3 linked regions of the Alligator mississippiensis genome follow. The protein of the gene in region 3 purifies or fractionates together with the protein of the main gene of each other region. This does not show direct contact. Links are inferred from orthologs where the notes say so. Each region holds a gene or a part of one and is shown on either strand. Other genes may lie near its edges.

The links.
Region 1: the proteins of PNKP (region 3) and XRCC4 purify together in Homo sapiens (co-immunoprecipitation; 5 studies listed by BioGRID and IntAct, counting the BioPlex papers as one, with this or other methods). This does not show direct contact. The link is inferred for Alligator mississippiensis from reciprocal best matches to the Homo sapiens genes PNKP and XRCC4.
Region 2: the proteins of PNKP (region 3) and LIG3 purify together in Homo sapiens (co-immunoprecipitation; 5 studies listed by BioGRID and IntAct, with this or other methods). This does not show direct contact. The link is inferred for Alligator mississippiensis from reciprocal best matches to the Homo sapiens genes PNKP and LIG3.

What each region holds. Positions count from the first base shown.
Region 1 is NC_081826.1:248,738,430-248,748,268, forward strand, and holds the start of XRCC4 (DNA repair protein XRCC4), read right to left. Parts: upstream 4,606-9,839; 5' UTR 4,523-4,605; intron 4,403-4,522; exon of another isoform or gene 4,284-4,402; intron 1-4,283. Other genes in the region: TMEM167A (protein kish-A), read left to right, coding at 4,781-4,783.
Region 2 is NC_081837.1:26,292,191-26,302,474, reverse strand, and holds the start of LIG3 (DNA ligase 3), read right to left. Parts: upstream 4,106-10,284; 5' UTR 4,046-4,105; coding exon 3,553-4,045; intron 3,183-3,552; coding exon 3,039-3,182; intron 1,010-3,038; coding exon 812-1,009; intron 1-811. UniProt on the Homo sapiens protein: Isoform 3 functions as a heterodimer with DNA-repair protein XRCC1 in the nucleus and can correct defective DNA strand-break repair and sister chromatid exchange following treatment with ionizing radiation and alkylating agents.
Region 3 is NC_081828.1:39,807,202-39,816,695, forward strand, and holds the start of PNKP (bifunctional polynucleotide phosphatase/kinase), read right to left. Parts: upstream 3,993-9,494; 5' UTR 3,952-3,992; coding exon 3,747-3,951; intron 3,536-3,746; coding exon 3,489-3,535; intron 2,900-3,488; coding exon 2,441-2,899; intron 2,321-2,440; coding exon 2,241-2,320; intron 1,869-2,240; coding exon 1,811-1,868; intron 1,732-1,810; coding exon 1,624-1,731; intron 1-1,623. Other genes in the region: TRPM4 (transient receptor potential cation channel subfamily M member 4), read right to left, coding at 7,047-7,051, 7,348-7,444, 7,665-7,737, 7,954-8,086, 8,907-9,079. UniProt on the Homo sapiens protein: Plays a key role in the repair of DNA damage, functioning as part of both the non-homologous end-joining (NHEJ) and base excision repair (BER) pathways.

The sequences.
Region 1 (9,839 bases), on a different chromosome or scaffold from region 3:
TTTCTAATATAATGCAGAGACTAAGAATCTGATGAATAAGCTGTATAATTTAACTAATTTGTTAAATGCATATATAATGTTCATGACTAGCAAAAGGTGCAGAACTAGCATCAAAGTGGATTTAGTTGCAAATCTATTGAAAAATAACCAAAAAGTGCCAATGCAAACAAGATTTAAAATTGATTATTTAAATTAAGTTTTGCTTGCTGCTTAACACCATGACAAAAACCAGTAATTTAAATAAAAACTAATATAAATCAACCTAGCCTGAATTCTGTTTACCAATCTTTTAGCAGAAAGTTCCAGATATCAATATCAATACACTGCAAATTAGAAATTGAAATTTAGGGTCCTTTTCTGGAAAACTGAAATCACGTGAACTATTAATCTGGGTTCTTTGAAAAGGCAAAGCCAGAATATATAAACACATTAAGTGCTTTATATATTTATTTTAAGGGATGCAGTGGCAGAGTGATGCACCTTGCTCCTGCTCCAGAAACACAAGTTCAAGCCCTGCTCTAGATTTGTCCTAAAGAGGTCTTTGGCCAGTCAACCACAACCTGGTCATTTGGGCTAGGGAGCAAACCAGTTGGATGCCCCATTATCTACTCTGCTCCCTTGTATACTGTTAGTTACGAAAAAAAAATCTTAGGTTCAAAAGGACCTCTGACCTTTTGATACGTGTATGTCAGTTATGTTTAAATGGTTGTTTAAACAGCAGATTGCCTACATTCAGTATAACTGTGTTTGTATTTCCATTCTTGACCATTGTGCAACTTCCTAAAGGAGTATTTGCTCATATCAACTGTTAACCTTCTATCTCCCACAGGAGGAGTGTAATTCTTCTTCCCCATTGCCCAGTGAAGAAAAGAAACTAACGTTTGCATTGTATAACAACTTAGGCTGAAAACAATGTACTGCAGTTAAATAGTAAACCTTAATAAAGAGAACCCAAAATAAAACTATCATTTTGAAGCATGGATATAGCCTTTCCCATTCTTTAAGAATCACTAGTCTTGGAAAGGGCAACATTGGGTTATTGGTGTAATAAACTTTCAGAAGACATGACATCAAATGTAGGCACCTTGCTGCAAATATATTATAATCGTGAGGAAACTCTTCGACTCCAAATTGGCCTTCACACATATAGTCCTGTTTTCCTGGAATTCCTCAGAGGATCAAAGCTAACTGCTTAAAAAAATACTCCGTTTAAAAAACAAACACCACATCTGTTTCATGGTGAGCCAACAAATTAAATACTATCCATTTCAAAGGCCCGATGGTAGAGGTAGACCTTCTTTAAAACCAGCTGCCAGATGCAAGTCTCTCTATAGAATTTATAATCTAAAATGTTTCTTAAAAATGTAATGTTTTAATTAAGCCAACAACCTATATAGCACACAGACTACTTTAAACATCTATAGGATTTAAATTCATGACTTTTAATAGATATAGATAAAAGGGGTAAAAATGTAACCCTTACATATGTGTGCAGTTATTACATATCTTGGGTTATATAATACAATGAGTTCACCCTATAATGTAAGATCAACCATATAAACATCTGTTCACAGATTGGACACTATTCTACGATTGTAGGTATAATGTAAAGAAGATCCATTATACATTTAAGTTTTCATAGACCAATCTAGTCCAGTGGGTGCCAATCTTTTTTGCAGTTGTGCCAGAAATTAGCCCCACTCTCTCCATTGCAATTGCCTTCCCCTGCCCAATCTGCTCCGAGCCCTGTGCCCCCAGCCTAATCTGCTGCTCTGATTTCTGCTTCCTTACTTGCAATCCCGGCCCAATCTGCTCCTTGCACTACCTGCCACGATACTGCCTGTCCCCTCCCCAATCTATAACATGCCACACACAGCAGCTGCACACACCACCTTGTCTTGATTGTCACAGGACATCAAGCAACAAGATGTTACTAGTATGAGTTAGTGAACATATCAAGGGAAGAAAAATGCTTGATTCCCCTTCCAAAGAGATGGACAAGTTTCTAATTGCAGGATTTCAACCACAATGCATTCCCCTTAGACCCATACTGCCAGTCCCAATTTGTTGCTTTTTTCTTATAAATAATAAATACTGGTTATCTGTGTAACATGCATAATCTCACTATTTATCTTTAACTGTGTGCGGACCGGGAGCGGTCCGAGGCCCTTTTTTCGTACGGCGGGCTGTGGCCAGCAGCCCGGACACGCCGGGTGGGGGAAGACAGGTGGCACGCTAGAATTAGGCATGGATGCTTAGTGGTTGATTTAAGATTATTTTACTTACACCAAAGATGGTCGCGGTACAGGCAGGAAAACTTGCTTGAGTTGCGGTTACAAAACAAAACAAAAAACTCGAACCTGCAGAACGTTAGGGTACGTCGCAATGGGGTTTCGGCGACAGGAGATGAACAAAAACCTCAGGAGTACGTCGCAATGGGGTTTCAGCGACGGGAAGAAAAAAATCTGCAGGACTCGAACCCCGGGTAGAGCTCTGGATTCACTCACATGAAGTTTGCTAGGCTCCGTGGAACTTTGTGTGCAGGGAAGGGTACGTCGAGGGATCAGGCGGCGACGGGGAGAGGCAAGAGGCTGATCAGACCCCTATAGCCTTCTTGAAATACACGCTGGGTCCGATAGGCTCCACAGCGCTTAGAGATCTTCACGAGACGTGAAATTCTCCTCCACCTGATGGTCGTGGAGTCCTCCAACTTGGGCGGAAACCACTCAAGCCTCTTATACGGCTAGCAAGCCAATCGCTAGCAGCCACGTAGGAATAATTTAGAATTGACCAATAGTGGGGCACGAATCTGAATACAAATGGCGGGAACTCCTTGCAACGTGCATCTCCTTTCTGCAGCTCAGAAATGCACCCTGCAAAGAAAGCTATGAGTGGCGGGAAATAATTCAGCAGTGCCGAAGCACACACAAACAAAAATCACACCCTTGGGTTGTGACAAACTGTACTCAGGTAAACTACATGCTAGTTCCATCTGTCAGCATTGTAATTTTACTCCCTTTAAGTGAGCCAGAAACAGGGATAGGGAAAGCTGTTGCGAGTCTCAAAAACAAGGGAAGCCAAACCCAAGGCTTTTAATAACAGCCTCTGGCTCCTAGGATCTTGAAAATAAATACAGGTAGTCAGCTTCAGGGCTGCAAGGCAGCACTGCATACCTGTGGGAAATTGGTCACATTGGACATCTTTACACGTGCTGGGGGGGCAGGGGTGTCAAGCAGAGCAGCTCCAGAGACCCACTCTAATTACAGCACCCACAGCATCTCATGCATCCAACATCTCCATGCTTTAAAATGCTAGCAGGGGTGCTCTTTATCTAGAGCTCATTTGATGAGCTTTAGTTAAAAAGCTCCTGCCATCATTTTGAAGCATGGGGATGCTGAATACACAAGCCCCCAAGGCTGCTAGTGTGCTAATTAGCATGCTCCAGCAGACTCAATTCATCGAGACTCGATGAACTGAGTCTGCTCTGACACATCATAATTACAGTACAGCGCATCAGAGACAGTGCTCTGCATGTCTACAAGCACCACGAAGTCCCACTAAGTGCAAAGGTGAAGGGCCCTGCTACATGTTAGCATTGCCAACCCTCCAGGAGTCTCCAGTAATTAGACATAAATCTCCAGGAGCTTGCTGAGAGTCACCTGGGAGATAAATGATAAGGCATTCATTAAAATAAAAACGTTGACTCCAATTTATACAGTAATCCAGTGGGGGTTTTTTTAATGTAATAATCAGGTGCATTTGCCTTCCTGACCTAAAGTCTACGCACCATAATCCATCACTGATACACGCAAGCACGTGGGCGTGTTCACGTTGCGTTTGGCAGTCTGGAAACGGCCCCAGACAGATTCAAAAAGAGTTGGCAACCCTACTACATGGTCAAATGACAGCTGGATAGAAACTAGCTCTGGTGCCGTTCCCCAAACAGCCAGCTGGCTCTTTTCTAGAGCAGGAGGCTCATTTTCCATGTGTGACCACGACTCTGAACCTAGGGCCGCTCTCAACTTCTTGCGCGACTCATTTCTCAACTGCATGACGACTTGGCGCTTGTGGCCGCCTACGTGTACTGCGCGAGTCGCCACGAGCCTGGTGCAGGCAACGCGTGGTAGGGCCCCAGGACAGCACAGCCTTGCTGCAGGCCCGGGGCCGCTTTCTTCAGTCCCGGCGTCCCCTGGGACTGGGACAGGAGAAAGGCGGACGGCGCGGGGAGGTCTCGACCCGCTCCCTCAGCCGCACAAAGCAAACCAGGGGCGGCCTCGACTCACATCGGTTGCGGGGCGGAACCATAATGGGGCCCCAGGCCATTACGGCCCGTCAACACCAGGTCTGGAGCCGGGAGAGGGCCCCGACCCGGCACTGCCCGGCTCAGCCGAGCTGCGCTCTCCCAACCCGGGGAGCGGGCGCACGCGCACTGCTGCCTCACTCGGGGGCGGGGCAAGGGCTCCCCCCGCCTCAGCGCTCCCCCAAGCTCCAGCGGGGGAGGGGCGCGTCGCTCGCTGCCTACCTCGCTCAGGCGCCGCCGCTTCCGGTGCCCTGGAAAGGCCGCTTTCGCCGCGGGCCTCAGCACAGCCAATCGCAGGCCGCGGCGGCCTCTCCGCGTTCCCACCCCTCATCGCTCCCCCGCGCCAATCAGAACGCTCAGCGGCGCCCGGCCTTGCGAGGCTGGCATCTGTCCGGCCAATCAGAAGGAAGTTAGGCTCCTATGTCTTCCGGTCCCGCCCCTTTGCTGCCGGAAGTGTGATGTGGCTGGCAGCGGGGCGCTATGGTGAGTGTGGAGGTGGCGCGGGCGGCGGCGGGCGGCGCTCGCGAACCCTGGTCTAGGATCACCTACCTCCCGTCCTCACCCCCCCCGGTCGGGTGCTGGACCTGAGCATCCGGGTGCCCCTTGTCCCATCAGGCGAGGCGGGGACCGGCAGCGAGGCCGCCTCGCGCAGCGCCCTGTGTCTGACAGGGGTTTCCCACAAGTTCCTCCGTCACTGCCCGCGAGAGCCAGGGGACTTGTCGGTCGTGTCAGGGTCCCAACTCGGGGGTGCTCAGGGCACTGCAGCAGCACCCTTGGGTGACTTGACATCCTGTCAGGACTGCTGCATGGCATGAGCGCTGCTGGGTGGGCAAAGGGGTCTAGCAAATAAACCCAGATCTTTCAAACAGGAATCCGTCATATGAGTCCCAACTAACTTGAGTCCGTGTAATAAAAGCTATCATATTTACCCAAAGATCACTGTCTGCCCATGTCCGTAGACCAACACAGCTCTAACCTGTGCCCCTATTATCTTCAGTCAGACACGCAGCAAAAGCTGAGGGGGTCTCGATTTAAATTTTACAAGGAGGATGTACTTGAGTTGAGAACTGCCGGTCTAACTTGACTTGCTCTTCATCTTCTTCATGGGGATGCTCATATGCTTGTAATTGAGACGTCAGGTGCATGAGCAGAGGATTTAATCATTTTGACAGCTCTCTGTGGTAGATGCTTTTGAGAATGATTTGGTCTAAATAAAGGCATAGCTCAAGATGAGATGCCTGTACCTAGCATACGTGGACTGACTGGAGATGACTCAGTTGGGCTCTTCCAAGGAGTTCTCCGAAGTTCAGCAGTCTGGTGGAAGAATAGCCATTCGGAATCGGAGTTGAAATTGCTTCAACCTGGGGAAAATACACTTTTCTACAGTGGATGATGGGAACACATTTGTTCAACCAGTTTAAGCTTTCAGAAGCCATTTAGTTTCTTTTCTTCTGTTTAAATATTTGGGTTTAATAGGACTCCCTATCAGAATAAAGTTTCACATTTATGGTACCTGAAATCAAAGATGAAAATAAGACGTTTTCGGAAATTTTTTATAAAACGGCCAGTCTCAGTGGTGGTATCATTTTTGTGAATCTTTCTTTACTGTCCAGTAACTCTGAAGAACAACTGTTCTTTTTCATGATCGAAGAAAGCCAGTACATCAGTATGAAAAAGGTTGTGTAACCTCTAAAGAGATTCCCACGGTCTGGCTTTTGCTCCCCCATGCTTGTAGGAGCATTTCTTAATAAACCTTTTTCTTGTAAGGTCTGGGGCAGACAAGTGAAGTGCTAAAATACAAGTGCTTTCTGTCCTTTCTGTATAGTAGATGGCCATAACATTAAGAGATTCTGAAACCTGCATGTATGGAACCTGTTGCAAATGGAAGAAATTAAGTGAATTCTCTTTCTTCACCAGCAGCCTAGAAGACTACTTGGATATAATAAAGTAGCCTCTAACAGAGAGAGGGAAGTAGTTTAAAACTCCACCTTAGAATATAAATTAGAATAATCACATTCATCAGTGGAGTATTTATTCTTCTGATTTTAACCTTTGGATTTTTCTCTAAATATTGTACGTAAAGGATTGGTGCCCCCCCCCCCCCCCCCCCCCCCCAGGAATTTTTTAGCTAAAGCCTCTATAATAGTAGAGAACGTCCAGGCCAGAACATGTTCTGTGTAGAAACGTCTTGTTTTGATAAGTAAATATTTTGTCAAGTAGACTACTTGGATGAAAGTTGGGCTGAATTTTCCAGTGAACTTGCGTAGGATATCATCATGCTTCAAAACGAAGGAGTGGGGCTTGGGGGCTGAGATCTGGCAATTATATATGGAGCTCTAGGATGTGTACGAGGAAATGAGGCTGAATCAGGGTAGATCTGGGAGCTACCAGAAAACATGGTATGGGTGGGGTGTGATAGTGTAGCTCTACAGGATTTTGTGTTGCTTTTATGTGTTTTGGAGGCTAGAGGGTATGGACCATGGTTAACACAACTATAAGAAGCATTAACACCTGTTTGAAAACAAACTAGAATACCAATAGCTATGGTCTTGTAAAACCAGATTTCTACCCTGTTTTCTAGTTAATAGAGCATATTTACAATATGTCGCTTTCTAAAATAACAAAGCAGTTCAACAAGAAGTTAACTTAAAACAAATTGGATAGAGACCGAGGGAAATTGTATGAGATTTTACACTCTCTCTCTCTCAAGAATGATGGGAAGGAGGCAGGCAGGGACAGAGACCTGCGTCCAGCCCCCTCCCCCCACCAGTGGCTGGGGCCATGGCTGCTCCCCACCTCCCCCCTGCAACTTTGGGCCGGGACTGGGTCTGTGTCCTGTACCACTTCAGGCTGAGGCTGCTCCCCCACTCTGCTTTGGCCTGTAGCCCATGATCACGGCAATTGTGGCGGTGGTCACGGCAGGGCACAGCCACCAGTCATCCCCCTTGCCTTCCCGCTTCCCTCTTCTCCGCTACCTCTGCCTCCCCACTGGCTCTTGTTGCATTTTTTTAAAACATTACCCAATATTCTCATCCTCCTTGTAAAATGGAGAGAAGTTGTATAAATTATTGTTTCTGTAATGTAGAGGTTTCCTCATTAGAATACACAAGTAAACCTGAAAAGCTTATAGTATCCTGTAAATTGATAAGAATTTATAATGCAAATTCACCTGTGACAGTCATTGAATTAAGGCATGCCTTCTTGTTAGTTTCTTGGACTGATGGAGGGAGAAATAATTTTACACTGGTTAAAAAAGACTGGTATTTTTTATAGATTTGTAGGGCGAAATAGTAAACTGGTTGCCTTAGCCTAAATACAAAGGAATATCCTTTCCCATGAGTTAAGCTGGTGACTGTCTAGCACGCTGTGTCTATTTCCTGAAGCTTTTGCATGACCTGTTAATTGGTGGGAATTAATGTATGCAATAAAGAAGCAAAGCCTTTTGCATCACAAATTTTTTGTGGGACCAATATGCTGCTTTGGATGCGTTGGTTTGGTGTAGTACAGACAGAATTTGTATAGGTGAAGATGTAAACTGTTGATTCTCAGACAGGTACCCTTGTATCCTTTCAAGGATGCCATGGGTGAACACAATATACAAGCTTAACCCAGAGGTTTTAAATACAAATCCAGTGTCAAGAACTTTCTGCCCTGTTGTGGTCTGAGTTTTTTGCAACAAAAGAATTGCTGTTAGTTTTCTGTAGTCAAAGAAAGAATGAAAACTAAGAGCTGGAATTGCCTAAAGGTTCTCTGAGTCTAACGAGGAATGCTTTGAGTCTAGAAAGGTTGAGAACCACTGATGTAGATGTATGATACTATCACTTTTGCTTGTGGATCAGTTGGAGTAGTTATCTGTGAAGCTATTTCAAGAGGATTGTGGTCAGTCTCTTGTCATAGACTTTATCACAAAGCAGAACAGTTTTTCAGTTTCAGAAGAAAGTCGGAATCTAGCTTTTATTGTTGTGAACTAATTTAATGTTGTCTTCCTGAAACTGTAAGTGGCCTAAAACAATAGTTCTCAGAAGTGCAGACTCTCCCCACCCATGTTAGTTTGAAAGGTTATGTTGAGGTCTTACTGTTGCCATTTTAATTACCAATATTAATAGTTTCACTGTTGTTTAACTGCTATTGCATTTTAGCTGCAGCAAGCAATGTGCTTGACTTGTGAGCTGTAATGATGGATGTAGGTGTGGGGAAATGAGATAAGCTTCTTACTGTAATGTATTTGATAGTTTGAGGTTTCAAGCCATCTCAGAATTTCACATCAGCCCTCTTTGCAGCCAGGGGGAGAGAAAAATGATGCATCTTTTGCATGTTGCTAACTTTTTTGCTAGTCTCAGACAGTCAAAAACCTAAGGCACTTCAGTCTCTCTTGAACCACACACCTGCAGTGGTCCCACAGGGCCAGTGTAGTGCCAGTTGTTAGTGCACAGCACTTTTGTGCAACCTAACAGATTTAGGTATGTGCAGCAGGTGTTGAATCTGCTGGTTCTGTACAAGCCTGATAGGGTGGGAACTCTTGACCCCCAAAATTCTTTATTCAGTGTTTTCATGGACATGTATTTCATGTTGCAGGAATACTTGTGTCATGAGTCCCATTATATTCATAGGATGTCATGCATGTTTCCTTGAGTTTGTTTACTGATATGGCATGTATAGTCTGTACGTATAAGTAGCATCAAGTTGTGTTCAGCCTTAACATCCTTAGGTTTATATGAATTGTGGTATTTGATATAAATCTTATTTCTTTAATTGCAATAGGGCCAGGATTGGGTAATGAGTCCCTTGGGAGAAGCTCAAAGCCTAAAGAAAAGTAATCACTGAAAATTAGCATTCGAAAGGGATGTTAAATATCCAGGCCTTCCAAACAATAACGAATTTACATTTTAAAAATGGGGACCCATAAAAATATCACATTCCTGTGTGGGCTGTTTGGGGAAGAACATTTATCACAGTGGGAAAACTAAGTGAGAGACAGTATCTTTAGGATACTGGATTTTAGTAATCTTCATGTCTGAAAGGATGCAACTATTCTCCTAGTCTTAATTAGATCAGGGAAGACTTTTAGACTGGTAAACGTGCAACTTCGTTGCGGGGGAGGAAGACAGAAAGTTATATACATGTTGTGGGATCCCCAAGAATCCAATGGGCAATGTATATAAATAACCAGATAAGAAACTATACTTAAGCTTTGCCTTGAGAACAAGTCGTGTCAGGATAACTTGCATGAGGCCCTGGCAGGAAAGTCAGACTCACAAGCACATGACCAGACAAGGATATGATTCTTCTAGCTGTCAGAATCCCTTCTGTTGAGAGCTGGCCAAACTTTGGTGAGATGGGTAAGGCTGAGGTGCCACAGGCCAAGGAGTTAGTTCCTGACACAACTCAGCTGGTTCTCAGCAGGTGGAAAAGAGGTTTAAAGCTGAAGGGCACCAATGAAGGTGTGAAACACTCTAGAAGTGTGTCTCAAACTTGCCTCTGGCTGCTTGTAGGTCCAGAGCACACCCCGACACAATGCAGTTCCTATCATTTAAGAAAT
Region 2 (10,284 bases), on a different chromosome or scaffold from region 3:
TTCCCTTCCCCTGCCTTAGGTTGCTCTCCTTCCTGCTCTGTACCCTGCTGCTTTGCTTTCTGCTCTGTCTCCTCCCCAATCTGTTGCATGCCACACACAAGCTGCTCATGACAGTTGTGCCACATGTGATACAGGTTGGCCACCTCTCAGTTCTTCTCTATATTAAAGGACACTTCTCAGGGGAATCATCCAGTTGATCCCTTCCTCATCTAATTTTAGTACTGCACATGGGTGACTGGTGCCTCCTGAGTCACTTGCCCCACCTGACTGCACAGTCAGCAACTGGGGGTGGGGAAGAGATCCCGCACAACTGATCCTGCTGACTTGCAACTGGCAGCAGTGTGCTGCTGGCACTTCCGGGTTGGCGGGATCGGCAGTGGGGGGACAGCTTCTCCTGGTGCACTTCCTGGCTGGTGCTCTCAAGGGGGGCACCAGCACTCTCGCCTGCCCCCTCACTTGGGCACGTTAGCTGACAGGGGGTGCACTAGCACTCTCAGGGGGTGCACAAGCACCCCTGTGCACACCCTACGCATCACCACTGGTACTGCAGATTTGGCACCAACTGCTCATGATCTTGCTGTTAGTCTTAATACAACTTACTATCTCCACAATAGTAAAGAGAATGGAAAGCACACTATGGATACCACCCAGATTATATTAGAGATAAGTGGTATAGGGCACAACTCTGGGAATCCTCATCCACAGACATGACTTTTTTGCTTCCTCAACTCCTGAAATAATGCTTGAGGGTCTGGTTAATTGTTTTAGAAAAGCCCTTCACACACAGTGAAGTGTCAAGCAGGAGTCACACCTCCTCCAGTCCCTTTCTGCAGAAAGTCCTGGATGATCTGTGTTTTCACATTATAGCTGGGCTTGTCAGCAACCATGGCGCACAATTTTCTGAATTCCCGCAACAAGCAATCCTTGTGCTTTGGGTCACACTTCTTTGAAGACAGAGTAGACTTGTGGGAAGAATTGGCAGGGGTGTCCCCAGAACTGCCTGGTTTAGCTGCAAGAGAAAGACATACTATTTAAATTTTTAAGATGTAGGCTGGAATGATATGATTCACACTTTGAAGAGACGGGCACCATTGTCCACGCAAGTGGAAAGCAAGAACAATACTAACAAACTGGCAAAGCTTCAAATATGAATGAAATGCACAGCAATATTTGAGAATTTATGATCAAAATCTGAATCAGCATTTAAAACAAAATTTATGCTACTTTAATAAGTCTTTTCCCTTCAGAGCACAGAAGAATTTTCTGGAGCTTAAATCTACCTACTTCAATGGTTTAAATCTTGATGCGAAGAAACTGTGGCGAGTGATGATTTTATTTTACTTTCTGGACTTGCAGCAGATTTCCCCAATATCTGCAACCATGAAGGCAATCTTCAGTGGGTGGAAAAGGCTTGACAAAGGCACAGGTTTTCTTATAACTGTCCACTTAACCATTATTTGTTTTTTTTTCCAATCAACTTCCAAAGATACCTGCTCTCACCAGGAAGATGGAACCTGTCTTGTCAACCTTATGCAGGATCTGGACATCTTATGTACAGTAGGATCAAGTCATCCAAAGATGGGATGACTTGATGAGACGATTTAATTTTAGACTGCATGTGGATAAAATATATTCTATTACAATTATATAAAAACAGCTTATCTGACTGGTGGGCATCCTTTTACACAAGTACTGAAGACAGAGGGTTCAATATACAATCAGTGACTTTGTCAGGGGAGTCAGCTCTAACTGAGCTTTCGTAGGACCAGCGTCTGAGTCTCCAAAGACATTTTTACGTGCATTCCTGGATGGGTGCTTTGATTAGCAAGCTGCGCTAATTAAAAGAGCCCACGCATCCTGCGTATCAGCATTGCCACACTGAAAAAACGGCAACAGGGCACTTTGAACTAAAGCTCATCAGATGGGGCTTATTTGAAAGCACACCACTGGCATTTTGTCAGTGCGGAGATGCATGACGACACTGATACACATGACGTGTGAGGCTGCTGGAGCACATCAATTTGCATGCTCCAGCAGACTTGATTACATGCTGGATTTCCAGCACACCAGAGCAGGCTCTGTACATGTGTATAGGAGCCCCAAGATGCTACCCTGCCCTGCCTTCTGCAAATCTGTAATTCAGTGAGCTAAATCAGCTGCATCACAGTTTCTTATGAAGCTCAAGAACTAACTTGGCAAATGATCAATTTATCGGAGAGGCTTGTTTCTTGTAAAAGAATACCCCATTTGAGTTGGATTCTCGAGTAGCTGTCAGAAGCAGTTTTTCCAATGCAAAAAAAAAAAGTACATTTAGAAATAAAGGGTTATCTTAGTTTTAACAAGCAAAGAAAGGCTGTGTAACAGCCTACATTTTACAAACTTCAATATATTCAGGTATCTGGTTATACAGTACAGTCACACCAGGAGGACAATAGTTGCAGTTTTGGAAGGTGGTGGCTTTAGTTTAACAAACTGAAGTGCTAAAATATATTAGAAAAGCTCAGGTGTTTTATCTGCTTTATTTCTGCCTCTCTTTTAGCATAAAAGGGCACATCATTTCAAAACCTAGCGGCCCTTCAAAGGGGTAACGTAATCAACACAAGTCACAAAAAACAGCTTGCCAGTTCCATATTAGCTTTCCAGATACCTTCACTATTCATACCCCACAGAGAGAGGGGAAACTCCTGTCCTGCTCCTGTTAACGACAATGAGAGATTTTCCACTGAGGCTAAAAGGAGCAGGTTTCTGCTGATTTCAGATGAGACAGTCAAACATTTTTTGTAGTCCCCTTACACTTTCTGAGTAGAATATTTGGTTGGTTTTATCCCTGTTCACACAACCAGAATAATGCAAACACCTGACAGCTGAGAAAATACTTAACATTTTCCTCAAACTAAATATGAAATGTAGTTTGTACTAAACAATCTTCTAGTTTCTAGATGAAAGCTACTGGTGTGAGACTCAGCTTGAAACGCCAGAAATATGAATGCTATGTGAGAAATAAAAGCTTCTCCCAGCATCTATATACCAACTCCGACCTGTGAAACCAGAGAATTTCTTTGGAGATGGATTAGGAACAGCTCCTGGATCTTTCTTGGGGGAGGTTATCTGCCCACTGGGGGACAGCTTAGCCTGGACTGTTGCCTTCTTCTTAGGTGTGCTTGCAGACTTGGATGTGGCCTCTGTAAGAGATGAAGTGTTGAGATCCACAATCAGTGACAGCCCCACAGTATTCAATAAGACTTAACAAGTCACAATGCTTGACAATAAGCAGCTTGTTTCTGAGCTACAAAACATCCCGCCCTTTAGGAAGGCGTTTCTACAGAGAAATAAGCACAAAGTTATGGGGATTGGCCAAGGGTCGCACAGCACGACACAGCAGAGCTGGGACCAGAAACCAGCAGTGGCTCCCAGTGCCCTAACGAGGGGCAGATGACAGGTCACCTTGCGCATGCGTGCGAGTGCCCCTGCCTCTTCTCCCTTGCTGTAACTTTGTTTTCTGTCCCTGCCTCAAGATGCAGGGGGCGGGGGAAGGGGCACAGGGGCTCTCACCCGAGATAAGCTGGTTGATGAGGTCTTTCTCGGCATCTTGCAGCTCCTCCCACCCCTCGAGGTCTGTGATGTCCTCTATCTTCTTGGTGGTGGCACGAGCCCGCTCCAGCTTCTCGAATATGCACTTCACGTGGTACCACTCCTTCATGTCGCCGCCCGACTCGGTGAAGGGGTTGGGCACAACCTTCCCAATGCGGACCATGCCCTTCAGGATCTTCTCCTTGCACTTCTTGCAACCGGCCGTGCCGCGCTTGGCGTAGTCCACGCAGTACCGCTGCTCCGCCATGGCCTCGGGCGCCGAGCACAGCCAAGCGCGCGGGGCGGGCCGGCCGGCGCGCGGGGGGCTGCTCGTTGGCAGGCCCGGGCGCCAGGGACGCGGGCGGGCCCAGGGGCGGCTCGGCAGCAAGACGCGGCCCTGGGGGAGGCGAGGTCCCGCCGCGCGGCGCAGCGCCCCAGCGACCTGCACGAAAAGCCGCCGGAGAGCCGCGGGCATGTGCGGCCGGGCCCGGCTCTACGAGCGACGGGGCCTCACAGGCCGCACTCGGCCCCGCCCCGGGCTGGCGTCGTCACCGCCCCCGCGACCCGTTTAAATCCGGGACTCGAGATCGCGGGCCACCGCGCATGCGCACGCGGGCCCGAGGAGCTGGGGCAGCCGGGATTGGCGGTTCTCCATGCCCCGCCCCGCCCCGCCCCCTCCCCTGACGCGGCACGGAGGCGACAGATCCCGCCCTCGCCTCAAGCACGATCCCCTTCCTGCAAAGCGCGTCACCCCGCCGGTTGCGACTCCTGGGGCTCAAGAGCACGGGGCACCGCGCCTGCGCACGCGGGCCCGAGGAGCTGGGGCTGCCGGGATTGGCGGTTCACCACGCCCCGCCCCTCCCCTGACGCGCCCCGGAGGGCCCTCGCCTCAAGGCCCGCCCCCAGCGCGGGCGGCCCCCCCCCGCCCGTTGTGACGCCCGCGGCGAGGGCAGGCCCCGTCCGGCCACGTGGCCCGAAGCCTCCGTCTGGTGCGACTGACCCGCTCGTCTCAGCGGGTGCCCGGTGCAGTCGGCGCCAGGGGCTCGGCCTGAGGACATTGTGTTGTGGCTCCGTATTTTCTTTCCGTACATTAAAGCAGACTGAAGCATTTGCCACATTTCTGAAGTATTTATGAGGATGATACACAGGAGAAACAAGCTGCCTGTCCCCGGAATAGCCTCGAGTGTTAGACTTCGGACAGAAATTATAGTCTTGATGCAGGATTTCGTTCAGAGCAATGATGTTCGAACGAATTCAGTTTTCTTGGTACTGAGAAAATGTCCCAAATCACCCTGCGTTCAAATGAAGTGAGACCTTTAATAGCTGCCATACCGTAAACAAGTGTTTCTTCTCTGTAGCTGCTGAAGAAGATACTGAGCAGGGGCAAGACAAAACAAAAGAGATAAGAGAAATGGAGAGGATTACAGAATGATTTGGAGAAAAGTAGAATAATGCTGCTTAGGTAATGCATGGTGATGCTCAGTATTGCTCATCTATTTGCACATGCAGGGAAACTATTTGTCAATACAGTTTTAGAATGGAAAGTCTATTGCAGCCTTAATCATCAAGGCATGGGACAAGAGATGTGTATAAATTCAGTCTGAAAGAGATTCACCATTGTTCAAGGTGAACAATGGTTTCCAAGTGTCCTCCCGCTCTGATAGTAGAAATGGTTTGTGTTTGAATGGCCCCTGATCTGTTTTCATGATCAGGCCTGCATAGGTGGAATTTGCCACCAGCAGAGGGGGCCTAACTCAAGGCTGCCACTTCAGTCTCATTTAAAGTCTCGCTTAAATGCAGTATAAGTAGCTCATAGATCCTCTACCTGGCAGTGAATATTATCCAGTAAGAACTCATAGGCAAGGGTTGCTTTGACTTGGTTCATATCCATTAACATGGATTGATCAGAAACAAAAGTAAGGGTAGGTCTTGGCTAACATCCAGCAAAAGAGCTCTTATCCTAAAGGACTGAATTTGCTGCGAGAGTTGTAGTCATTACTGGGCTGTAATAACCCCACTGATGTGGTCTGCTACGGGGAGATCTGCAGGCCCAGAGCTGGAGAGTTGCCATCCTAATAAAAAAATCTCCCTAGCACATGCTTCATATTATTTGGATCTTTGTCTCTCCTTTCAAGGCTGAATGAGTCCCTTCTCTTTGTACCTTCCCTAGAGCATGTGTGACTTCATATGGGGATAAGGAAAAGCCTGTGTGTGTGAGCCATGACTTGTATGGCTCCCAAAGGCTACAGAATAAGTATTAATCCATCCTCAGCATTGATCACGTAACTACATTTCTTGAAAGCATTTATGACCTAGGGACTACAATTCCCTCTCAGGGCCAGTTCCACTTATTCCACTTATGGGGATAAGATGCTAAAAATATAATATAAACTGAGTCTAATTAGAAGCTAGTGATAGAAAAGCCTGTTGGGTCAGACTGTGAGATCCACTGGAGAACAGCTGCTCATAAGAATAATCCTGCCGAAGTCAGTAAAGGTGTTCATATCAGCAACTGTAACCTACTAGAGTAAAGGGGCAACCAGTCTAATCCTTTGTGATTCAGTGGTAAAGCTTGGGCGAATGATCCAAGCTCTAGTCTCAGGTCTGTCACTGATTTACTCGGTGACCTTTGACAAGTCACCTGTTAATTTCAAAGCAAGTTAGACATTCAGGAACATCTGAAAATCCTACTTAGTGCCTGCTTCTGAATCCCCTGATGCCTAGGATGAGAGGAGTGAGTACACATCATGACGCTCCTCTGCAAAATGGGATATTGAGTGACAGAGGCTTCTCCATGAAGAAGTGAAGAAATGGATAGAAGTTGGGCTTGGACCTTGCCCTGGGTCTGAGTATACTCAGACTCAGGGGGGCTTGGAGCAGAATCTGAAATTCATGGCTCAACTCTACAACTGGGCAAGTTTATTGGAAACAGGCAGTTGATAATGCAGATGGGGGAAGGAGAGAAGTGGGGAGGCTGCATTAGTGGATTAAAGAGACTGGCTGTCTAGGACCAGCTTACTGTCCATGAAGCTATGAAAAGCAGGGGGGGAGTGTTCCTTGTCCTGGGAATCCCATTCCCTGCCATATGCCACTCATGGAGAGTGTACACAGGATATGGCAGCCTGTTCCTACCAGCCAGCATCAGTACAGGTGTTCTGCATACATACCTGTGAATCAGTGGCCACCACAACACCATCTGGTTCCAAATTAGCAAAGGGCCTGATAAAGAGCTCAAGGCCAGTTGTCCCTCCAGCTGGGGAACGCGTAGCTTCCTAGTAGCATTCTAAGGCCAGAGAGAATTCTTAGAAAGCAAAGGTAGAGACAGACAACAAATTCCCCTTCCTGGTCCTAAACACTGTGCTCCATTGTTTCCAAGGTCTACTTCTGCACTTTAACATGGAACTCTTATTAGCCTCTTCTACTAACAATATCACAACTATAGTGGGATTCTTTCCCAGCTGACCCTTTTGCCATCTTCTCAATATTTCTTCCTTCCTTAAAAGACCACTGAAACCAGACAACCTCTGTGACTCCACCCTTCCTTAACATTTGACTCCTTTGATGGCCGAAAAACTCCTCAGTTAGAATTGTTTCAAGTCTTTTTTCAAAAGCACACTGACCAATAAATGACTCCTGAGGCAGGTATCCATCATGGGAAATTTCAGCTGAAATAACTAAAATGTTGCAAAACTATATGCAATTGAAAGCAAGGTCTTATAACTCAAAGTGTTAGGTATCTATAATAATGCTATCAGTCTGCCCTACAGTAATGTCATCTTTCCCATCACACCCCTCTGTCTTGTCAGTTCAGAATTAGACTACCCCTTCTTTGTAATGAAGTGCTTCCTCTTCTCTCATGTATTCTTTGAAGGATTCCTTTCTCATAGCTGAGCTTGCAGTTTTGCAAAGAGAAGGCAGCTAATTTATGCGTGCACATTTTTAAAGCTATTTTAAATCCACAGAGTGTAATTTAACAACAGCTATATAAATACTTGTGGGATTTGCCTGTAATAAATACTCATGATAGAAGCAGTGTGTGTGTTGAAATAACTTTATTTAAAACTAAAGTAAAAAGAGTCTCCATCCTTATCATCAAGCATTATTAACCAAGGCACCTGCTTTTTCTGGAAAACCCCAGACTGGCTGCAGGCTCTCTCTAAGACAAGGTCATTAAGGCCATTCTGAGCAGATGTTAACTGGGGCTTGGAGCACCTCAGCTGCTGCAGATTAAACCCAGTTAACTTGCCTTGCCCTGCTATAAAAAATCACAGGTACCACAGTTGCTGCTTTACTGTCCGGGGGGGGGGGAGGGGAAGAGAGGCTTATGTTCTTGTTCTTCTTAGCAGCAAAGCTCTCTGCAGACTTTCCTTCTTTAAAAAATGGAAAAAGTATAGGAGAAATTACTTTAAATGTGAGTGCTGAAGAACCAGGGACTTCTGAGTAGAGAATTCCCTTTAGAGTAGATCTAATGGGCTTATCTAAATCAGGATATCTTTTTTTCTTTCTTTCTTTCTCAGGCATCCTTAGAGGGATTATTAAAGCAGCTAAGAAGTCTGAAATGTAAATCTCCCACTCAAAAGCAGCCTTGCTTTTCAGAACTCAAGCTGGGGAGAGAGGAGACCTATATAGTTTATCTTCTGTCTCTCACTTCCTGAACCTGAATATTAAATTACATTTTAAGATAGTCACTAATGGCTTCGCTCCTAACCTTAACCTATTCACTAAATTGAATGAATCCAGAAGTGTTTCTTAAAAACTTTTTTAAAAACCTACATGCTAACTGTCCTGCCCTCTTTGTCCCAAACTGTCTCTGAGATGAGATGAATACTGCTTCCTGACAATTCTAGCTACAAACATTCTCCTGCTTAAGAATTCAGTTGGCTGATAGCCTAGAATAAATCGGCTCCAAGGGTAAAAACTTCTGGGAATTGGAGAGGAGGAACTTCATTATGGAGTGCTGTGAAGAGAGTTGCTACCATAGGTGGCCTTTTATGAATGGCTAATCCAACCCCTGGAAGCTGTAACTTGTGTGTATTGGATGCAAAGTAGGCATAGCTTGGAAATCTTACTTATCTTGAATTTTGAATAGTCTCTAGCTCATGTAAAATGCATTTATAGATGAGTAATAATTTTAGGATCCAGTATCATAGTGCTGCTGCAGCCTTTGATTCCTTCAACTCTGTGTCCAGAAGAGTCACTGGGTCAAATCAAATCTAATCTTAACAGGGAACTCTTTGGACCAGGCCTCACTCTTCCATAGAAACAAAATGTGTGTCTACCTGCCTTTTCAAAGAGGAAAAAATGTACACCAGGGCTTAGTAATGTATCCTCTAAGAACAAGGAAATGGTAATGCAAAGAATGAACGTAATCTGGGTTGATGCCACCCTAAACACTGCAGTGTTTTTTAAATGACAAGCTGTGAATTTCTGGCTTTCAGTTTACTTTAATGTCAAACCTGCTCTCCTTCTGAGCCTAGAAATGTAAGCTATAAAACATGGTCATTTCAGCTCAAGTACTTTGCATGTCCTAACTGCCTCCATATTTTATAGAAGTATGCTTCTCAAAGAATTTCTTTCCTTTACCAATACAGTTCCCAGACACATCACACTGCCCAAATAAACTGGAAGGTTACCCATTCTCTTAATGCCTGTTTCAATTTTTTTTTCCTTACTAGCAGAGCATTTCCATCTTTCCACATGTGCTGCTAGAAAAATGCAGACAAAGGAAGATTCCTCCTACCTACATTATCCCTAAAATAAACCTGGAAGAAAAATCATGTAACTAATTACCTTAGGCAATACTTTCATAGTTACTAGGCATCCCATGGAGGTGTTTAAACATTCCTTTCATTTAGGCAGAAGAGTACTTAACATAGCGTCTGCTTTTTAACCAGGCTGCTTTTGATGATCACTCTCATCAAGTGAGTCTTTCATCCAGTTATTAACAGTCACCACACTACTCCGTATTTCCATGTTTGCAAAAAGTTAAATGGCAGGAAGGGAAGATCATCCTTTAGCTGTGTGACTCCATTTAGTTTTTTTTTCCAGCAGCTTCTACTGAATTTGACCAGTCCCTGTGCTGAAGAAACAGCATTTGCTGGAAATGTCTACAGAAGAGTTCACTGACTTTTTTCTTCCCCCTTCTCCCACCTCAAACTTCAAGAAAAACAAAACTGAGCCTTAAACACAAAGATGTTTAAAGAATAGGGAGCACATCACATACCCTCCAGGGAGAAAAAGATGGAACATTTAAGAAGTCTCTTTCTTTGGTGTCCCCTGGGAACTGGACAAAGCACAATCCTTTTGTATTTCTTGGAAGTATTACCCAAACTTTGGTTTGAATCGGATGGCAGGAAGGGGCAGAGACTGAAGATGAGATGAGAGCTCTGCTCTATCAAAGTACGCTTTGAGAGCTCAAATTAACAAACAGTGGGTTAGTTACCTTGCTAGCAGAGTTCAGTTTCCTTATGGTTGTGACCAGACACCTGAAGGCTCTGTAGAACCATACTCCACAGCAACAGACAAAAACGTAATTCAGTCCAGTCACTCAGAGGTGTAGTCCAGTGTTTTCTGCCAAACTTTAACATTTTAGTGTTGCAAGGTATTTAATAGGCACAACTCAATACATATGTAACAATTTCTTAAAATACTATCATTCCCTATGGGCATACACACAATTGCATATAAAAACATTCTCAGGTATGACCACCCTGA
Region 3 (9,494 bases):
CCTGGTGAAACTCTTCCACAACTCATGGTGCTCTGAAGTCCCTGAGGACCGGAAGAGGTCCAATGTTGTGCCTATCCACAAGAAGGGCAGGAGGAAGGCCACGGGTAACTATAAGCCAATCAGCCCAACTTCCATCCTAGGGAAAATCCTAGAAAAGTTCATCAAGGAGTCTATCTGTGATAAGCTTGCAGAAGGGAAGATTCTAAACGACAGCCAGCATGGTTTCAGCATGGGCAGGTCTTGTCTTACCAACCCCATCTCCTTCTATGACCAGGTGACTCACCATCTGGACACGAGAGAGCCGGTTGACATTGTATACCTAGACTTCCAAAAGGCCTTTCATCTCATATCCCACGATGTCCTTGTGAGAAAACTGGGTTATGGGCTTAACTCCGAGACAGTCAGGTGGGTGAAAAACTGGCTGCAGGATAGGACCCAGAGAGTCATAGTGACCTTATCTGTCTTCCTGCTGAGAAGTGGGCAGTGGTGTCCCACAGGGGTCAGTGCTTGGTCCAGCACTTTTTAACATCTTTATTAACAATTTGGACATGGGGGTGAAGAGTTCACTGGCCAAGTTTGTGGATGACACCAAGTTATGGGGGACTGTGGTCATGCTTGAAGATAGGCTACAGATACAGGCGGACCTAGACAGGCTAGCAAGTTGGGCAGACTGGAATCTGATGAAGTTCAGCGTCAAGAAATGTAAAGTGCTCCACCTTGGGATGAGCAGCCCCCAACACACCTACAGACTTGGCAGCACCAAACTGATTAGCACCATGAATGAAAGGGGCTTGGGGGGTAATAACAGACCACAATATGAATATGAGCTGGCAGTGTGATGCTGTAGCCAGTAGGGCAAATAATACCCTAGAAGTAATGGCCACAAGTAATACTCTGGCATGCATCAATTGATGCACCTCCAACAAAACCAAGGAGATGATTCTTCCAGTCTACTCAGCACTGGTTAAACTGCAGCTGGAGTACTGTGTCCAGTTCTGGGTACCACACTTCAACAGACATGGACAAGCTTGAGAGAAGCCAAAGAGGAGACATCTGTATGATCAGGGTATTACATGGCAAGCCATACAAGGAAAGGCTGAGGGATCTGGGACTCTTCACCCTGAAGAAAAGAAGGCTGAAAGGGAACCTGATAGCAGCTTACTGCTACACTAGCAGAATACATCTAGGGCTTGGTGAGCAACTGTTCACCAAGGCAACCAAGGGGAAAACTAGAAGTAATGGCCACAAGCTCCTGGAAGACCGATTCAGGCTCAACATTAGGAAAAACTTCTTCACAGTCAGGGTGTCCAGACTGTGTAATAATCTCCCGTCAGAGGTGGTGCAATCATCTACCCTGGAAATTTTCAAGAGGAGACTGGATGGTCACCTTGCTGGGGTCACCTGACCCCCAGTCATCTGTCCTGCTTGGTGCAGGGGGGCTGGACCCGATGATCTTCCGAGGTCCCTTCCAGCCTTAGAATCTATAAATCTGAGCTGGCCATCAGGGACTACACACAGCACTGGGGGCATCTTTGAGCACTAGGGGGGCAGGAGCTAGACAGGGTCCAACCCCCTAGCCCCCCAACCCCCCACATCCCAGGTTCCAACCCCAGCCCTGCTCACCTGTATGGGCAGCCCCAGCTGCTCCACCACTGCCTCCGCTTTGGCCTTGAAGACTTCGGGGCGCAGGCGGCCTCGGCTGATCCCCAGCTGGTTGGTGAAGATGATGATCTGGGGAGACAGTAATGTGGGGGTCAGTGGAGAGGCTGGGGGAGGGAATGGGGGGAGGGGCCAAGGTGGGGGGGAATACCTTATACCCTTCTCTCTGCAGTTGCTTCAGCTTCTGGGGGACCTCAGGGTACAGGATCCTTGGGGGGTGGAGAGAGGGGGAGGGAAGAGACAGGAGTTATCCCAAGACCTCACACGCTGGAAACTGCTGGGGTCCCTCGCTCCTGACCCACAGCCCCCTGCCCACAGCCCTGCCAGTGCCTAGCTCTTCCCCAGAACTCCTAAGTTCCTTCTCCATCTCATTCTACACAACCCTGTCAACGTCTCCCACTCTGCCCCTGACTTCCTGCCCCACAAAACCCTGTTAATGCTCCCCACACCTGCCCCCAGCCAGCCCACTCCTGGGTTTCCCCCAGCTCTGTTGGGGTCCCCTACTGCAGTCCCAGCCCTCAACTCCCCCCCCCCCCCCCCCCCCAGCTTCATGGTGCCCCTCACTCCCAACCCGTCCTTACCTCCAGTCGTCCGGACTGGTAGGGAAAACCTTTCCTGACTGAGTGGTGATGATGGTTCCATCCAGGTCAAACCCAGCAACCTGCAGAGACAGGGAATCAAGGGCCTGGAGTTGGGGAGGAGCAGAGAAGTTCACCACTCTCCCCACAACCCCAATCCCTCAGCTCCCAGAGGTGTCCTGTCCCTTTCCACCAGAGAGTACCTTGGTGCTGGGCATGACACCCTCCTTAGTGAATACCAGCAGCTTGCTGTGTTGCTCCCAGGAGTCCTGGGGGTGGGGGGGCAGGCTCCAGGACCCCCCCAAGGGTTGGGGGGCAGCCCCACTCTTTGCTCCCTGGGCCTGGGCAGCTGTGTCCTGCAGCTGATGCAGTTTGGTGGCTACAATATCATCCTCCTCCTCATCCTCCTCAGAGGGGCTGGGAGCCTTCAGTCTCTTGTGGGGATGCTCCTCATCCTCATCTTTGTCCCCCTCTAGCTGGGGCTGGCGCTTGGAGCTGAAGAAGTCCAGCAGGGTCTTGTGGGGGGAGTGGGCCAGGGCCAGGAAGCGCAGGCCATGGGGGTAGCTGCGGTTTACCAGCCATAGTGTCTGCCCCTCCCTCAGGGTGGCGCTCTTGCCCTGCCCCAGCTCCTGGTTGTCCACTGAGGTGGGATTTACACCCAGCTGCAACAAAGGGGGGGTGCATTAGGGGAGACCACCCAAGAGGTGGCTGCATCTTAGCCCAAGGGGAGGGGTGGCCACATAAGTAGCCCACAACTTGTTCCACCTCAGAGGGACCTGCAATTCAGCACTGAGCAAGGGATAACTGAATAACCATCCCTCAAGGTGCCCCCACCCCAGAGGCAGCTGCAGCTCAGTACCAAATGAAAGGTCCCTGTATAAATAGCCCACCACGTGCCCCAATCCAAGAAATGGCTGCATCTTAGTGCCAAGCAAGATGCACCAGCTTTCAAGGTGCTCACTCCAAAGGCAGCCGCATCCCAAAACCAGGAGAGGGCGCTCTGTATAACCAGGCCCTAACATGTTCTACCCCAAAGGCAAGTACATCTCAGTACTGGGTAAGAGATCCCTGATGTGCCCCAACCCAGAGCCAGCTGCATCTCAGCACCAGGAAAGAGAACTCTGCATAAGTAGTCCCAGACACACTCCACCCTGGAACCAGCTGCATCTCAGTGTCAGGCATGGGGTCCCTGTACAAACAACTCCTCTACAAACCTGCCTCTTGGCCCCTGTGCCTGACTTCACCCTTTACCTGAGTGACTCTCACTGCCTGCTGTTTGTAGTCAGCCAGCAGCTCCACTGCAAAAGAAAACAGCAAGGAGGGAATCAGAACAAGCAACCCCCATGCTGCCAAATCCAGACACCCTAGCCCCCCTGCCACTCCCCAGACAAGATGGTCTGGGATGGGGGAGCAAGCAGGTTTGGGAGGGCTGTACCTGGGTTGGGGGAAGTTACACACAGTGCATGGAGAGTAGAGGGAATCGTTGGGGGGAGGGGGGGCCCGGCTCACCTTGCTTCCGGGAGCACTTCTTGTCGGCCACACGGGTCTCGGGGCCACGGCCCAGCACCACGGCAATGCCGTTGGGCAGGGGCACGGGGTCGTGCTTCCCGTCCTGGCTCACAAGGTGGCAAGCCATGGCTGCAGGTGGAAGGAGAGGCACTGGGCAGGAGGTGAGGGATGGCACCTCCAGTCCCATCTCCCCCTGCCTCTCCATCAGCCCCACCTCCTGCCCCACCCCAAAACAGCCAGCCCCATTCCCTTGCTCCTCCCCGCTGTCCCAAACCCCTCCCCCACCGCCGACCCCCCCCATCATCCCCATCCCCTCCCCCATTGTTTCCCGCCCCCCCCAAAAAGTCAGACCCACCATGGCTCTGCCCCTCCTCCTCCTCATCACCCCTATCCCCACCTTAGCACCGTGAATCCCTGGGGAAGCCCCCTCCCCCCAGTTGGCCCCAGCCCCTAGTGCCACAAGGCAGTTTCACCCTGGGGGACCTGATCCGCCCCTGGGGGGGCTGCAGGGGGGCCCTAGGAGGAGGGACCTCAGCTGCCCCCACGGCCGGGGTGTGGTGGGCGGGGAGTGTCACACCTATTGCAGTCCCCCCCCCACCACCACGGAAGTGGCCCCTGTGTCCGTAACCGGGAGTGGGGAGGAGCGGCGGCGGCAGCTTCTCTCCCTCGGAGGTTCCCGCCGCTGCAGCGCCGGCACTTCCGGTGCGGGTGCCACAACCACTTCCGGCCGGCGCGCGCGCAGGACCAGGCGCCGAGGGTTCCGGGACATTTTGGTTCGTAGGGGCGGAGGAGGGGGCGACGCCCAGAGCCTCTAGCGGGGTGGGGGAGGTCTGTGGGGCACACGGCCCTCTGCTTGGTGGGGGGGGGCATTGCTGGCGTCAGTCCCGCTGCATGACTCAGTGCTGTGCCCTGGTACCTGGTCCCTTACCTGCCACATCCCAAGTGCCCAGTGAGTGCTGCCCAGGATTGGGGGACCCTCTGGTGCAGCCCAGGACAGCATGGAGAGGTGGTGCTGTGGCCCAGGCTGGGGATAGTAGAGCTGTGGGCTCAGCCAATTATGGGTTGTGCCCAGAGGGCGCTGCCAAAGTCACTGGAGAGCCGAGAGATTCAGTAAGGGGTGGCTATGAGGCCCCCAGAGCCCTTGGTGTATGGGAGAAGGGCTGAGGGAACCAGAGAATGGGATTGCCCATGAGAGTTTGCCTGGGGAGGAGACAGGGGGCCTTGCAATAGAGGAAGGGGTCACCGAATCATAGAAAATAAGGGACCTAAGGAGATCATCTATTCCAACAGGTGCATGGTTTCTTAAAGTGATTTAAAGGTGTGATAGAAAGTTTATGCTAGAGGATGTATATATATAACTCTATGTATATATAGAATTATATTTTAAAAAAATCCCAGCCAAAGTTTTGTCTGGCCGGGTCTTAAAAACTACACTAGGGATGGAGATTCTACAACCTCTCTAGACAACCTGTTCCAGTGTTTTACTGATATCTAACCTAAATTTCCCTTGCTGCAACTTGAGAGCATTGCTCCTTGTTCTGTGACGACTGAGAACGGTCTAGCTCCATTCTCTTTGGAACCACTCTTCAGGTAGCTGAAGACTGCTATTAAATCCCCCCCTCCGTCTTTTCTTCTCCAGACTAAATAAGCCCAGTTGCCTCAGCCTCAGAAGTCATGTGCCACAGCCCCTGAACCATTTTCGTTGCCCTCCACTGGACTCTCTCTAATTTGTCCACATCTTTCTGTAGTGGGGAACCCACAAATGGACACAGTACCTCACCAGTGCCTAATAGAAGGGAATAATCATTTCATTCAGTCTGCTGGCAACACTCTTACTCATGCAGCCCAATATGCTGTTAGCCTTCTTTGCAACACTGTTGACTCGTACTCAGTTTGTCCACTGTAACTCCCAGCTCCTTTTCTGCAAAACTGCTGCTTAGCCAGTTGGTTGCCTACTTAGGACAGAACAATGCCCTGGTACAAGTGCAGAACTTTGCACTTGTCCTAATTGAACCTCATGAGATTTCTTTTGGTCCAGTCCTCCAAGTTGTCAAGATTTCTCTAAATCTAAACCCTACTCTCCAGTGTATCTACTGCTCCCCCCAGCTTGCTTGCTGTCATCTGCAAACTTGCTGAGGGTGTATTCTATGCCATTTTCCAGGTCATTGATGAAGACACTGAACAAAACTGGCCCCAGGACTGACCCCTGGGGCACTCCACTTGATGCCAGGTTCCAAATAGTTATTGAGCCAGTGATTACTAGGCTCTGAGCCTGATGATCCAGACAGTTTTCTATCCACCCTACAGTCCATTCATCCAACCAACCCATACTTCCTTAGCTTGCCTGTGAGAATGTTGAGGGGGACCATACCAAAAGCCTTGCTGAAGTCAAGGTGTATCACATCCACTGCCCTCTCCACTTCCACAGAGCCAGTCATCTCATTATAAAAGGGTCCCTAGGCACACACCAGCATGGGGGAGAGGGTCCAGGGAGGGAGAGGCAGAGTGGTAGGTGCCACAGGCAGGGAGGGGCAGTGGTAGGTGAAGAAGATACCCCAAAGCAGGGCACCCTGAGGCCAGGGGAAAGTCTAGGGGGTCCTTGGGGGGACCATGGGGGTGTACAGCTGCTCTGGAGCCTAGGGAGAACCACATGAGGATTTTGGTTGGAGGCAAAGTGGACGCTGTAGGGGCCTTCTCATGCCCCCAGGCTAGCTCAGAGTCCTGGGTTCCTGCACACAGGGCACCCTTCTGCTAGGCCTCTCAAGGTGAGGGGTGCTAGTGGCAGGGTATCAGAGGTTCCCAGCACAGGATCCTGGCATGGGGGGGGGTCCCACTTCACCCAGCCCCTGCCCCCCAGGCCTGGTTCTCATGGTGTGCAACAATCAATATTTATTTAATCAAAGAATTCAAGTCATTCAAGATCCTGAGGCTCCTGCCAGAGTGGATGGAGGGCAGTGCTGGGGGCAGGATACCCCAACTTCCCTCCTTCCTCTGCTTCTCCCTTCTGAAAGGTCCTTTGGCACCCAGTCACCTGGGTCTACAGGGGTGGGGATCCTGGATGCCAGCCCCACAGGGAAAGTCTCTGGTAGCTGGACTCCTGGCTTCCCAGTGCAATGATTGGGGGGGGGGGGGGGGGTGTTCCAACTCCAGCCCCTCAGAAAGTGCACAGCACCCAGACACCTGGGTTCACAGTGAGGTTACAGAGGTTGTCCTGGATTCCAGCAGGTCCCAGGTGCCTGGTCACCTGGGTTCTCATTTCTCCCATCTTCTCACTGGTCCAGGCAGAGTTGGGGGAGTGGGTCATTCTGGTTGGGGGGAGACAGACAGAATTAGGACAGGCAGGAGGTGGTCACATTGCAGCTTGGGGGGGGACACTAATATATGAAGGAGCCAATTAACCCCTTCATTTTTGCCCCACCCCCCGAGGGGCCTGGTTCTTGGGGTGGGAGTAGGGTGGTTGCTTATGGGGGGACCCTGTCCCAGGGTTGAGGGGGCAGCCTGCATCCAAGGGGGAGGGAGATGGAGACTGGGGAGTAGGGGACATCCTGCGGGGGGTGGGGGGGCGGGGGGCTAGGAGCCCAGGGAGGATGGGGTCACTTACCCTTTCTGAGCATGGGAGGGTCTTGGTGCTTCTTCCCTAGGTCACTCTGAGCCAGGGCATCTACCACCCAGGAGAGAGCCTGCGTACAGTACTCCATCTGGGGGGGTTGGGTGGGTCGGGGGGGCAGAGCTTCAGTGCCCCCAAGCCTACTTCACTCCCTCCCTCTGCCCCTTATACCCCCAACCCTCCTCCCCCCACTGCCTCCGGCACCCTCTCCCCTGAGACCCTGACATAGAGAGCCCCCTCTCCTGCCTCCTCAACCTCCCCCCCCCCCCAAGATGGGGTCCTTCAGCCCCCACCCCCTGCCACCCGGGTACCTGGTTCTCCAGGGATTTGAGGTGTCGCTCTGACTCCCGGATCTCAGCCAGCTGTTTCAAGGCCTGGTCCATCCTGTGTAGGGGGAGGGAATGGGGGTCACTCAGGGGTCCCCCCAGCCCCTCTACCTCAGAGCTTCTGCTGCACCCCATCCCAGGCTCCATCAGTGACCCCCTGTTCTTTTCCCACCCCCTCCACTTTCTCTATGTCTCCCCTTGCCTAGGGTTCCCCCCTGCACCCCTCTTTCCCCGCAGCCATTCCCTAGCCCCCCTCCCCAATGCCCCGCCTCACTTCTGGGAGGTGCGTTTCAGGCGCTCGGTGTCACTCTCACGTTTCTGGCGCCTCAGTGCTACCAGGTGGTTCTCCTTCTGCACCGCCTCCCATGTAAGCAGCTGCCCATCCTGCTCCTCAGATAGCTCCAGCGCTGCCAGGGACCCAGGCATCCGGGCCAGGGGGAGAGGGACCATGCACACACGTAAGAACCATGCAGGCAGGGCATGGGAGCTAACATGGGGAAAGGGGCTGAAAGTAACTTACAGTTGGGCCTAGTTTAAAAAGCCTGGGACTTCCCGGGGCGTGGGGTGGGGATGGAGCAGGGAGTTGGGGGGTGCTGCAAGTTCACGTGAGGGTGGGGGCACAGATGTGTGCATTGGCACAACAGCAGAGACTTGCATGAGGGGGAAGGCACAGGATATGTGCCAGCTCGCACAGTGTGAGTGTGGCTCTTCCAAGCTCACCCAGGGGGGGCGAGGGCACTTGAGTGTGCAAGGTTGCACAAGGGCATGGGTACAGATGTGGGCTGGCTTGCACAACTCAGGCATGGGCTCCTGCACCTTTCCAAGCACCCCTGTGCTCGAGGGTGGGGGAGTGTGAGCTTGCATGAGAAGGGAGGTCATGTGCATGAGCTTGCATGGGGACATGGGCGCACATACATTTCACATGGGGAGGGGGAAGAGCAGAACACAGGAAAGGGGGAGCCAAGCTGAGGACAGTGTCAGGGTCAATCAACCCAGTGCCTCCAGCCCTTCAGTGAGATCCCCAATGCCAACCCCTCCCTTCCCACCCCAGCTTCCCTTCCCCTCAAACTCCCCCAACCCCAGCTCTACCCAACCCCCAAACCCTTCCTTGCAAGCTCCCAGCTCCCACCATGTCCCTTCCCCACCCCCTACCCCCAGCTCCCCCCCAGTCCCCTGCTCCTTCTGCACCCCACACCTGCTCCCAGCTCCCCTGAGCCCCATGCTCACAGAAGTGCCGGCTGCGGGAGCAGCGGGTGCGGGGGCGCAGCAGGGTGTACAAATGGCTGAGCAGGATGAAGGGGGGCGCCAGGGCAGGACGACTGAGGTACTCCAGGATCAGGCTGTAGCGCTGTGACCGCCAGTAGATATCACTGTTGCCCTGCACCTTAGAGAAGGTGTAGCTGGAAAAGGGGGGGGGGGAAAGTTAGGTGGAGGAGGACCCCTACCTCCCTGTCCCCCATGCTCATGGGCCCCTCATACACTCGTGACATAGGCCCCATGTGTGTTTTCAGGGCTCTCACATGCTCACAGCCCACAGCACCCCCCCGCTCATGGCCCCCTGGCATGCTGGTGATCCATCGTGCCCATGTGCTAGTACACTGCCTCACTGTGCAAACACACACGTCCTGTCTGCTTGACATGCTCCCTACCAACAGGCACTGACACCTGGGATCCTTGCATACATGCCTTACACAAAAGTGCCCGGGGACTTTCATGCACCCATGCTACACATGAGGGCTTGGGATCTTCACACACTTGCACAACACACGAGCCCGGGATCCTCATATACCCCATGCATGAAGGCTTGGGATCTCA